3 linked regions of the Schizosaccharomyces pombe genome follow. Changing the gene in region 2 together with the main gene of any one other region gives a genetic interaction. Each region holds a gene or a part of one and is shown on either strand. Other genes may lie near its edges.

Region 1 (3,397 bases), on a different chromosome or scaffold from region 2:
GATTTTCGTTTTTTCTCAAAGAAAAAAAAAAATGAACATTTCTCTAAGCGTAGAAAATTATCAAAAGTACTGACTCCACCAACAAATGATGAAATTAAATTTGTTAATAGGCATACGGGATCAAAACCCCAGCCAAATTTTTATTCATCTTCCGAATCAAGCGAAAAGGAACTAATTTGGTTTCAGCCAAAAATGCGTGTTTTTCTACAAAGCTTGTCTAACATGAGTTACTTGTCTCCTTCCAAATTTCGGTATACCACCGTGTACTCCAAGCAACCCAACGCATGTTGCATTGTCTGAAATTGTTAATACATAGCTTACAAAAATAAGCGTAGTACAACATGATGAATATTTTATTGACGGAGTAAACTACGTTTCGGGGCATAATTTTGCGCCTTATTTACGAACTTCACATATTGCATATATCATTGGTTTCAAATTCATTAAAAAACCACAATTTTTTTCTAAAAATTTCTAATCACGCTTCAATTTTTTTTTTAGGCTGTTAACCTTCTTTGTCATTTCATTTCCTGTTGAAGCATGTTAAAATTTAATGTTTAATTTTTTCTGTTATTATATTACATGGTTCATTTTCATTGTCTTAATACATTCCATAGATTCATTTATATCATATTAATAAACCTTAGGGCATACCCCATGAATAAAAAAAAAAATATATATTTTAAGCATATTAGATAGAATATTAGATAGAATATTAGGAGGTACGGCTAAAAAAATCAATCCATCTTTAAATACTGATAAACATACCAAGGCGTAAGTAAAATAACTTAAATATCTGCAAATGAGTCATTAAAAAAATTGAAAACTATTCATTAAATTCAATTCATAAATAGATGGCTTTTAAAAAGCTTAGTTAACAAGAGCGTCGAGATAAAACAAAAGAAGGCGACTTTCCCCTCTTTTGTAGGTTTCGAAATAGTTGAAGTGGCTTTACATCCATAGGTATGGCATGCTCCTTATCATCGTAGTTTATAAGCAAATCATAGCTCATCCAAGTGTTTGGATCGATTCGGTATCGTTGCAACATGGAGCATAACACTTCATTGTAGGTTAAGTTCACATTTAATTTTCTGTTTTTCTCCGCGTTTGTCAAAGAATCATTAACCTCTAAATCAAAACTTCCAAGAACAGATGGTGAAGGCTGAACAGGGTGAGTCATCGAACTAGTGTCAGATGAATTTTCGGTAGTAAGCTGTCTTCCTTCCTTAACATTTATGGCAATTTTTCTTAGTAACTGAAGAAATTCCGAGTTCAAAGAGTTTAGTGTTTTTACCAATTTAGTGTTTTCCGTTTCCAAGTATTCCACACGTTTTTCTAAAGAGACATTGTCATCTGATAAATGTTCGGTTTTTTCCTCTAGCTTCTTGTAAGACTCTTCTATATTTTTCAGTTCTTGATCCTTATTTTCTTGCTGCAGTTTATCCTTCTGCTGCTTTTTCATTGACTGTATTGCTGATAAAATGTCAATACGATGGCCCACACTCTCAATTCCCATGTCTCGAAGATCATTTGAACTTAACAGGTCTATGTCTTTTCCAAGAATATGGTAGTCTAGAAATTCTTAGTAAATTGCCATGAAATTGAACCAACTTTGGAGAAACTCATTGTTCCCAATCCCCCATTGACTATAAAAGAAAGAGCATTCAATAAGGATTAATGAGAGGCGAGCAAATAATTCTTTGAATTAAACTTCTGTTATGCATACATACCTTCAAACGCTTCTTTATGGGGAAAACCAAGCTGTTCTATCCAATTGCAAACTGCTTCATTGTTCCAATTCCAATAAAAATCGTCAGAATCTCCCATTAATTTTGCTTAGGATAGCAATGTAAAGGGCGTAGTTAATATATATGCTTCTGATGCTGACCTGCCCACTACTTTTATAACAAAGAAAGCATACTCATTTACCAAAAGTTAGTGGATATGCAAATTTAAATACAATATCAAAAATCAGCATAAAAAATGATAAAAAATAAGACCCTTAAATCTTATTGGAAAAGTGATTTTGGATGTGATTTGGGACTTTGAATTTGGATTAGCTATAAAATCTGTAAATTATGGGACGTAAACAAGAGCATGTATGCCGATGCTAATTTGACTTGCCCAGTTTTTTTCACTTATTAAAGAAAAGTTTTATTATCCCTATTATATTAGAAAAATTGGTAAACAATAAATTTAGAGTTTCAAGTTCACAGAATAAAGGCACAATTGATATCAAACATCGGTACGTTGTCCAAGTATGAATAAAGCTCAAAGCAAAAAAACCCAATCGAGAAGAGAATTTTTTGTAGCATTGTTGTACAAAGAGTAGTTTACAAAAAAAATTCTGTTTTTCTTATTTGACAAAACTAAATAATAAAAGTTGTTTTGTTATAGCACTTGAGAGCAAAAAGTTTTTATGTATCATAACGAGATATACCGCACTCGAATGTAAGAACGCAAATTTTCCAGTGGAAAACAAGCGTCGAACAACCATTGCTTCTAATACTTTAATTTAATTTTACTGATCAATAATTCCTATTTTCGTTAGTATTTGTGGAGGTCAAAGCTGTGTAGGAATTATTTTTTTTTGTAACTTCTTCTCTTCATCTCCACCGAGTGCTGTGTGAAACTTTTGAACCTCAGAAACGCTTATTTTGCCAATTTTCACAGTTTCAGAAAATTGTGTTTAAACTTAAAGTAAAAATGGCTTCTTTTGGTGAACTATCGTTTCTCAGCGAAATTTCGAATATTCATAAATCGAATAAAAAGCATGAAATTCAGAGTGCTGGCACGGTTGCTTTGGATAACGGAGTTGAATCTCCTTATTATATATGTGTTCAAGTGGAAAATCAGGGAATTGAAGTTTATCATATGAAGGATGAACGCTTATTCGCTTCATGTCCTCTACCTGAGAAGACACGGTTTTCCTGCTCACCCATCTACATTAAAGAAGGAAATTGGCATTATATTTGGACCTGCACCTCTCTTAAAAGTAATGGGGAATGGAAAATACTTCTTTGGAAGTTCAACGACCTCGAGGAGGAAAGCGAAGTTGTATATCGTGATATTTCCAACCAACAAATATTTGCTCTTCATTTCATCTCGTCAACTGGTCAACTAGTGATTGTATTTCGAAACGGAAAAATTGCGTTTCTCGATCCCGAAGATGACAAAGTTCACATGAGTGCCTCCGTTAACGAATCAGCCACATTGCTTCAATCAATGTATGTTCCTTCACAAGCAAATCCTATTGATGCTGTACGATTAGCATCTAACGAAGCAAGTGGCACTAATAATAATCCAAAGGAAATCGAGATGAACAGCGACACAACTTCTTCAGTACCAAAGTCAGGGTCTACCAGTTTTAGCGCTAATGTCACCTCATCCACATCCA
Region 2 (4,951 bases):
ACTGGAGAATCTATGTATACATTTCTTTCAATCTTATCTGAGTTGGTTCTTCCTCAGCTTCATGATTTCAAGGGCCTGAGTCCTACAAGCGGAGATCAAACAGGAAACATATCTTTTGGTTTACCAAGTGAAGTCATGCCTTTATTTCCCCAAATTGAAGCTGTTTATGAGATGTATCCGCACTCTTTACCTGGATTTAACGTAAATATAACAACCAATTCCAAAGATACCCGTTTGGCTCGTTTTTTCGTCAGCAGTCTTATTCCATTTACAGATGGAAATAAGGAAGGCTATGTTGGATAGTAGACAATTTATTTTATATCTACTATACCTAATCTTTTCTCCTCAAGGAGTGAACAAAAAATCCCCTTCTCTACGACTAATGCATACATACGTTTTTGAGTTTTACTTGTTTAAGTGATAGAATTCCCGTAGATATGTGTTATTATATATTTATGTTATCGTTTTCACAAAGTAAATAAAAATAAAAAGTTTTTTCTTGAAAAGGAATAATCAATGGATATTTTTTAAACAAACTGAACATGTAAAATAGTATTTTTTTAGTAACTAAACTCATAATGGTATTTATCAAGGACATTCACAAAATCATTAAAAACATGAATATTGTAGAAAAATATAGCAACTTAAATCATACGGTTTATAGGTTAAATAAATTCATTAGTTCTAAATGGCATAAATGCAATGATAATGATGCAAAAAAACATAAAAAAGATAGATCGTAAAATAATGTTTCTGTTTTCATCATAACTTAGCCGGCTTATGAAACGAACGGGTGGCTCAACAACTCTGATGCTGTAGGTCTAAGATTACAATCTATGGCAAACGTTTTCTCAAGGAAATCTATGGCCGATGAAGAAATGTTAGAAGGGAATTCCGGCAGAATGTTCTCCCCAATTCTGAAAATGGCCTGCATTTGATCACAATTCGGATAAGGGTGCTTACTAGTGAGCATCTCGATTACCAAACATCCCAAAGACCAAATATCTGTTTTCTCCGTATGCATAGTTTGCTTCACCACTTCGGGAGCCATCCAAAAAGAAGAGCCTTGAAAAGAAGGGCGAGCACCACCCGTCTTCGTAGAGGTACTATTTAGTTCAAGTTTCTTCGATATCCCAAAGTCCGAAATTTTAATCTTCCCTTTATTATCAACCAAGATGTTCGCACCTTTTATATCACGGTGTACAATGCCGCGTGAATGAAGGTATTCTAAGCCTTTAAGGGTTTGCTTAATAAAGTTCTTGACTAGCGTTTCCTCAAAGCTTCCATACATTGTAAGCAATCCGGCAACCGACCCCCCAGGAACATATTCCAAAAAAATGTTCAAGTGGTCCGAATTTAAGTTAGAACCGAGATATTGGACAATATGCTCATGAGACAACTCCTGTAGAAGAGCAATTTCACCCGCTAATGCATCTAAAAGTTTGGCATGGCGGTCTTTTGATTCAGAAACAGAATCTAAGATCACTTGCTTAACAGCCATCAACTCACCACTAGATGCATTCATACCGAGATAAACTTGTCCAAACGATCCTGAACCTATTAACGCACCACGTATCCATTTGATAGACTGATCATCAGTGTCCTCTTCAAGTGTATTTGTGTCCTCACTTGTAGTGGAAGTTGGAGAAATTGGGGATGGTTGCTCAATAAATGATGGGGATGAACCAGGTGAAAAGGAAAGTACTTGATGGTTGCCATGCGCGCTTTCTGAAAAAACATTATACTTCGACGATTTTTCATTTCCGTTGGACTGGTATAAAGGTTCCACACCAACCATGGTTATGGATTTTTGAAGCGATGGTGGTCTAGAAATACGCTGAGTAGAAGATACAGTAAGTGGAGGATCAAATCCCCTATCAATCCTAGGAAGTCGGTTAACATCTTCAGCAACAGAAATCCTCAGAGAGGAAAGAGGACAAACCAATTCGGAAGGGCGAGCCCGCCGAGAGCTTCTTGGCAAAATTTCTTGACCAAAATTACCAAGATTGTGCCCTTGAGACGTACGTATGCTAAGGTTTCTACGAAGAGAGTTTGATATTGTTTTTTCCAGTAGCTTTGGTTGATGATCGGGGAAAAAATCGGAAATTCTAGAATTAATAAGCTCGCTAGGAGGTCGCTGGTAGGATTCAAATGGTTTCGCATTATTTGAGCGGACACTTCGTTTCTGAGTGCTCGTGGGAAGAACAGAGGAAAGTTTAGGAGAAAGGGAGGACTGTGATGATAATGCTGCCGGTTGAGCCAATTCAATCTCCCAAGAACGGCGGAGGTCTTCAAACGATGGACAAGGCTTTTCTTTTGGCACAATAATTAACCTGTCGCGTTCCGGTGAAGATGAATTAAAACAAATTTGTTTAAATTCTTCTTCAGTAATCAGCTTAATTCGACTACTCTGTGAAACGCATACAATGAATTTTGAAGCATCTTCAAGGCTAAACTTTTTCAAAGCAATAGCGAGTGTTTTCTGGTAATCTCCTCGTGATTGAACTGCTCGAGTTTGCCCGTTACAGGCAATAAACCTCAGTATACATGGACGTGGAAACTCTCGTAAATAGTCTCTTTGTTTTAAAAATTGTTTGCCTTTGGCGGTGTTTTCAATGCCTAGGTCTTTCAGTAAAGGCAAGGTTAAATGATTTAGGTGTCGTCCTTCAATGTTATTTTGTGAAAATTGTTCGATATACTTCTCCAATCCGATACTTTTCAACCATTCTGCTACCTCCTTCGAGGTATAATATTCCATAAATGCAGGAAAGTGGTTGTACAACGTATAACTTCTAAGTTCAAAGTTGGTAGCATTTACGTTTAACCTGCCTCCCTTAGTCTCGTGCTCTTTGACGTAACAATATAACTATACACTTTATAACCGATATTAGTTTCACTAAATCTCATTACCAAAATGAAGCTGCCAAAAAATTCGTAAAGGCTGCTTGTTTATATAGGTATTGCAATTCTCACCCGGCACAGATTCAGATATCTATTAAATAACACTTACGTACATATACGAGTTCCACAAGGAGTCTAAATATCGACGAGAAATTGTAATCAGATATTAAAATCTAAAACTTTCGTATAAACCATGTGTAGCAAGTGAATAATAATCTTTCTCTTTATCTGCAATACAAATGTCGTTAACCACCGTTCAGATACTACTGGTTTAAGGTACGAACGTAAAGTACTGTTTTAACAATTTCAATGTTTCAATCGGTTTCAGAGGACGGCAAGAATCGCGCACTAAAATTAGCAACCCGCAAATGCGCATTCTGAAAGCGATTTTTGGTTTGTAACACAATCACGACGGATCGTACAGATCTTTCAAAAAAATCAAAATTATAAGTGCCAAAAATATATGTGTGGGACTTCAATTTAAATTGTTTGATGTGACAATGGTTCGAACATAAAACCAAGCAATGTTTACCAAAACAAATTTCGAGATACGGTCGGCAATTCAACCATAACAATAATTTACAAATAATAATAAACGTCGGAAGCAAAAAAAACGGGAATGGAAGTGACTAGGGTTTAAAAGTTTCAAAAGAATGCATTGCGCGTAATTCATCAATCAGCGAGTTTAAAATGCAATCGTGGAAAAGTTCTATAAATGTGGTTTACATACAAAGGAAGGAATGAAGCCAGTTCTGTCATGTACAATTTGACAAAGATGAAATAGAGCCATCGAACGCGATGATTTTACGAATAGAAATTCCTCATCCAAACAAGCCGTGCCACATATAGTAAAACAAGACTTGGAATAAGTGTGACGTGAACCAAAAACCATCATGAACATAATAAACACAGTCAAGTTGGGGTATGGAAGCTTTGACTTTCAGCAAACATGCAATAATAAACCCTGTCGGTAAGCTCAACCCAGTATAGTTTAGCAACATGATGATCAAAACAGCTGCCTTGTACAGTAACTTAGATTAAATAAAGTAACAGTAGCCGAAGCTACCATTATCCACCTCTTTTAACCACTGTCTACATAGGTTTTGCTTTTGTATTAAACAAGAAGGGAGCGCTTATCAACCATAAAGGATTTCTGCACAAGAGCTGATAAAGTTGCAAACATAACAGGTGAACAGATATGCTAATAATGAACTCGACTCAAAGCTTAGCTTCTTGGTAGCGTTTAAGCTTGCATACTACAAATCAACAGATATGTCAAAAGTTAGCAAAAGTCAAAACCTCCAACCCAACGTTAACCACCGAAAAAGAAATAAGTAACCAAATTCGTTCGATGTCAATGAAACATATATGTCTATCAAAAAAGAGATATAAATAAAAAATTTAATGAAATTCTTTGAAATAATGGCATAATGGCAATATGACCCAATACACACCATATATACTAACAAGAACTGGTTCAGCTCACTTCTCCAAATCCATTACGAAAGACCCAAAACACAAAAACAACTTCAAGAACTGCCATTCGAAACAGCATTATATTGCCAATATTATTTAACTGAGGGAGTATGTTGTATAGGTCGTTATTAATACCAAGAAGCATTTGACATCTTCAAAATATATGTATATATAGTAGAATCTTCAAATTATTAAAGTTACTCCTTCTCATTTGATCCAAAATAATCATCCATCTCCTTGTCGAGCTCTTCGGCGGATTTTTTAGGACGATTAGGAGTTCTACGGCGGCGTGTAGTCTTCCGCTTGGAAGATTTGGCGCCATTCTTGCTAGCAGTGGCGCTAGCGTTGCTGGCAGGACTTACACGTGCAGCCAAAGAATTCAATTGACGACTAGGATCAAGGATTATCTCAACCTTCATTTTTCTAGTGCCATCAACCAAACGACCCTCATACTGTTCATAAGCTCGAGTGGCATCACCAGGACGAGAAAAAATGATAGTTGCAATACCTTTCGAACGACCGTTGGGACCGTAAGCCAAGGAAACGCGTTTGCAAGGTCCTATGGATTTCACAA
Region 3 (3,890 bases), 2.3 Mb from region 2:
TCCCTTAGCTTCAGGAGCATTAGCCAAACCCGGAACCATCCTGGACGCTGTTTCAAAAGACCTTGATCGTTCCACTAGTCAAATAGCTTTGAGTTGGGTTTTACAACGCAGTCCGGTTATGCTACCTATTCCTGGTACTAGCAAAGTAGATCATCTCGAAGAAAACGTCAAGGCCGCTGGAATCCAATTATCTTCTGAGGTGTTTGCCAAATTGGATGAGGAGGGTAAAAGCGAAGATGCTAAGCGTCAAGAAGAGGAGAAGAAAAAGTCTTCTTAGATTTCTCTTTTTCTTTCTATGGAAACTTACTAATGCCACGATGTTTGGAATTTCCATATGTTGATAATGTTATAAAATGATCTCATGATTAAATTAAAAGCATCTTTTTGTATTGATTTTTCATATTCCTCGTAAGGTCTACAAGGCACTGTTTAAGAGAAAGCAGTTTTTAACATGCTAAAGTAAAAATACACGGCATTCACAGAAAAATAGTTATACCCGCGGCTACGTAAATAAAGAAGTTTACGAATGCTTATATATAATATGTATTGTAATTTTCGTTATTTTGATATTTATTATTGTATGGGAATTAGATATTGAATTTTTTTTGTTATAATTTAAACAGGAAAAAGATACTATATAGGTTGTTAAATTTAATTAAAATCAGGAGGGATATTATAAATTCGTTCCAACACTTCACCAACGGCACCTTCAGCACTTGAAACGTCGGAAATTGCCTTGGCTGCCTTTAAGGCGACAGGCATTCCACTACGAATGGCTACGGAATAGCCTGCCAATTCAAACATGCAAACATCATTTGCTCCGTCACCAAAAGCTAGGACGTTTTCCAAGCTAATGGATGGATAAATCTTTGAAAGAATATTCTTGAGCGCAACCCCTTTGTTATCATTGGGAGGAATTATTTCAAAAGTCTGGGGAAGCGCTTGGGTAAGAGCAACTTCATCCGAAGGAATGCCAGCCAGTCGCTTTTTGGCTTCTTCAAGGCCGTTAGTATCATCATCAAAAACTACCATTTTATTGAAGATGTCTTTCGGGCCCTTAAGCTGAGGGAGCATTTCATTGGCGTCGTCCTTTACTGTTTCCCCACAGAGTCGCAAAAACTTAATACCATGTTGTTTTTTATCCGATTCCTGTTTAATTTGGTAAACGTAATCTTCATCGTAACCGAAAAGTGCACACGTTTGGATGTCTTTGAGCTTATCAATAATATCGATGGCTAAAGAGTTTTTAAGAGCTGCGCAAGCAACGATTTCACCTTTATCGTAAACTACGCAGCCGTTAAGGTGAACACAAGGAAAGACATGTAAACCTAACGCTTCTCTGATATTACCTACGGATGTTCGCTGTCTACCAGTAGCTAACACAAAAGGTAGCTGAGGATAATTTTCACGAAGATACTTTAAAGCACGAAGGTTTCGCGGATGTGGCTTATGATCCGGTCCCAGCAAAGTACCATCAACATCACAGATAATGAGTTGAATATCCTCCGGTTTAGGTAAGACGTTTTTCTTTTGATTAATGTCAATTTCTTTAGACGGCATCTTTCTTTTTTGTATGAGATTTTTAATCAAAACACTGTTAACGTCCAATTTACCTGTCTATGATAAACAATTGATCAATTTATTTAAAAATCAAAGTAACTGTTTTCACAAATACCCACAATGATCTATCGTATTTGTATTTATAGCCCGAAAGATGACACAGATACAATATAACTTGCTGACTAATATTGCTGTATTGAAGAAGCGTACCTGTCGTTCACAGCTGAGGTGATCCCTTTGGTTTGTGAATACAAAGGTTGTGGGGTGTTTAAATAACTTTAAGTAGCATTCCCCACTTTTGGGATGACAAAAGCATGTTGAATGCCGGACCTTCGGTAGTCAAGATCTCGATCCCACTCCGGCGCGTTATTAAAACAGAAAGAGATATTGTACGGCAAGACGAGTATGGAGGGTTTGTAAAATGAAGGGTATGCGTTTGTAGTGAGAAGGAAAGAAGAGCAAACAGCTGTTTGAATAAACATGTAAACAAAAAATGCAAAAAATTATTTAGACAACAAGTTAACGCTAGCTTTGTTCAAAAAAAGATGGAGAGATTATTTAATTTTCCTTTCTTTATTTTCTTTGAAATTTTTTCATTAGGATTTTTATTATACATTTTTCTGCTACGTGAAATTCTGTAGCTCAAACTGTGGGAAGTTCTTTGACATTAGTACAACTATACTTTTGGGACCTTGAGCCCAGAGCAGTTGCCTTTCGCTACACTTACAGTTTCACCAGAACAGAGACTACACAGGAACTAATTCACCGTCGTATAGACATTGTAAGACTCCTTATTAAACTTCTAACTAGCGATGTCCTTATGTAGAAATTAATTATGAGCTGGAAATGAGCTGGAAAAATAAAAGTAAACAAAGAAAAAGGTAATAATATTTAGTTGGATCTATCAATTTATCAAGTTGTCATATTTAATCATTAAATTTTATTTTAATACTAAAATTCATTAACTCAAACTTATATAGAAAGCAAAGAATAGCTTTCTTTTTATTTTTTTTGTTTACCATTTCGAATAAATCTCTTCTCAGTTGGCTTCGTATTTCAACCGTGGCCTTTTAATTGCTTGATTAATCCTTTTATGCTTTTTTTCAATAATAATAATTTTTTAGGCTCAACAAATTTTGATCTGTGAATTTTTCAGCGTATTAATTTTCCATGTTAGAAGATTTTTATTCTACCACCGTAACAATTGTCTCAATTCCTTAAACTGCAAATATGTTTTAATTCTCAAAAACCTTTAGAAATCTTCACACTTGTAAATTAAGTAGGAAACAACATCATTAGCAAATAGCATTAGTCCATTCATCAATTGATTTGTTCGATAGAATTGCATATTACTACCTCATAAACCGCTATTTTACCTTAATTGTGCTTACAGTTGTGTCCAGCAATTACGCTTTACACAAATTATGTGAGCTACGCAGTTTCGTATTCGTTTTAACGATATGTAAAACTGCGGTGAGTTTTCCTTGTCGTCTATTATATCGCAATACACAGGTAATATAAGTAGCAACTGAGTATAGGTATTGTATTAACTAGATTATAATGTTACCTATCACTGATATAGCCTATAACTGAACTGAGGAACGAGGTTCAGCAGTAGCTCTAATTATAGTATTCAGATAATATAGATCTTGATAGATTATTATTAAGATCAATCTCAATATCGTATCATACATAATACGATATATAATTAGAACATGTGACATATAGTGATACGCAATGTAGTGTATTATAGCGTAGTGTAGTATTGCTGACAAATTATACAGCGCAAAGTTTTGCTTAGAGATGTCGAACGTTACCTTTTGAAAGAATACAATACACTCACCTTACCCTGGTATCGCGCATTATAGTACTAGTATATATGGCACAACGTGCGCAAAACCACCATTCATCATATACATTTTTGGCTTGTATATTCTTTGACATATTAAGAAATGGTTAACACGTATGTGATATTAAAGTGAAACTTGATTCATTTATAAATTTCCTAACATTTTCTTTATAGAGAGGTTTACATTGTGTCTGCTGTTCGCACACCCATGGGCAGCTTTGGCGGCAGTTTCGCTTCTCTTCCTGCCACCAAATTAGGCTCTATTGCCATCAAGGGCGCTCTTGAAAGGGTCAATATTAAGCCTTCTGATGTTGATGAGGTGTTTATGGGTAATGTCGTCTCAGCCAATCTTGGCCAAAACCCTGCTCGTCAATGCGCCTTAGGTGCTGGACTCCCTCGTTCCATCGTTTGTACTACTGTTAACAAGGTTTGTGCCTCTGGTATGAAGGCAACAATTCTCGGTGCTCAAACTATCATGACT

What was found.
Region 1: of byr2 (region 2) and ste4, changing one suppresses a phenotype caused by changing the other (phenotypic suppression), as found in Schizosaccharomyces pombe (2 studies listed by BioGRID).
Region 3: mutations in byr2 (region 2) and odr1 together harm fitness less than expected from each alone (positive genetic interaction), as found in Schizosaccharomyces pombe (one large-scale study listed by BioGRID).

Annotation. Positions count from the first base shown.
Region 1 is NC_003424.3:1,294,684-1,298,080, forward strand, and holds ste4 (MAPK cascade adaptor protein Ste4), read right to left. Parts: upstream 1,861-3,397; 5' UTR 1,828-1,860; coding exon 1,731-1,827; intron 1,573-1,730; coding exon 875-1,572; 3' UTR 633-874; downstream 1-632. Other genes in the region: SPOM_SPAC1565.03 (uncharacterized protein), read left to right, coding at 1-300; protein Utp8, read left to right, coding at 2,707-3,397. UniProt on the Schizosaccharomyces pombe protein: Essential for mating and meiosis.
Region 2 is NC_003423.3:1,739,539-1,744,489, forward strand, and holds byr2 (MAP kinase kinase kinase Byr2), read right to left. Parts: upstream 2,807-4,951; 5' UTR 2,759-2,806; coding exon 779-2,758; 3' UTR 510-778; downstream 1-509. Other genes in the region: mrpl7 (mitochondrial 54S ribosomal protein uL5m), read left to right, coding at 1-303; RNA-binding protein Mlo3, read right to left, coding at 4,575-4,951. UniProt on the Schizosaccharomyces pombe protein: Serine/threonine protein kinase involved in conjugation and sporulation. It is thought that it phosphorylates the byr1 protein kinase which itself phosphorylate the spk1 kinase.
Region 3 is NC_003423.3:4,046,849-4,050,738, reverse strand, and holds odr1 (haloacid dehalogenase-like hydrolase ), read right to left. Parts: upstream 1,805-3,890; 5' UTR 1,561-1,804; coding exon 652-1,560; 3' UTR 541-651; downstream 1-540. Other genes in the region: SPOM_SPBC215.11C (aldo/keto reductase family protein), read left to right, coding at 1-277; acetyl-CoA C-acetyltransferase Erg10, read left to right, coding at 3,513-3,523, 3,584-3,890.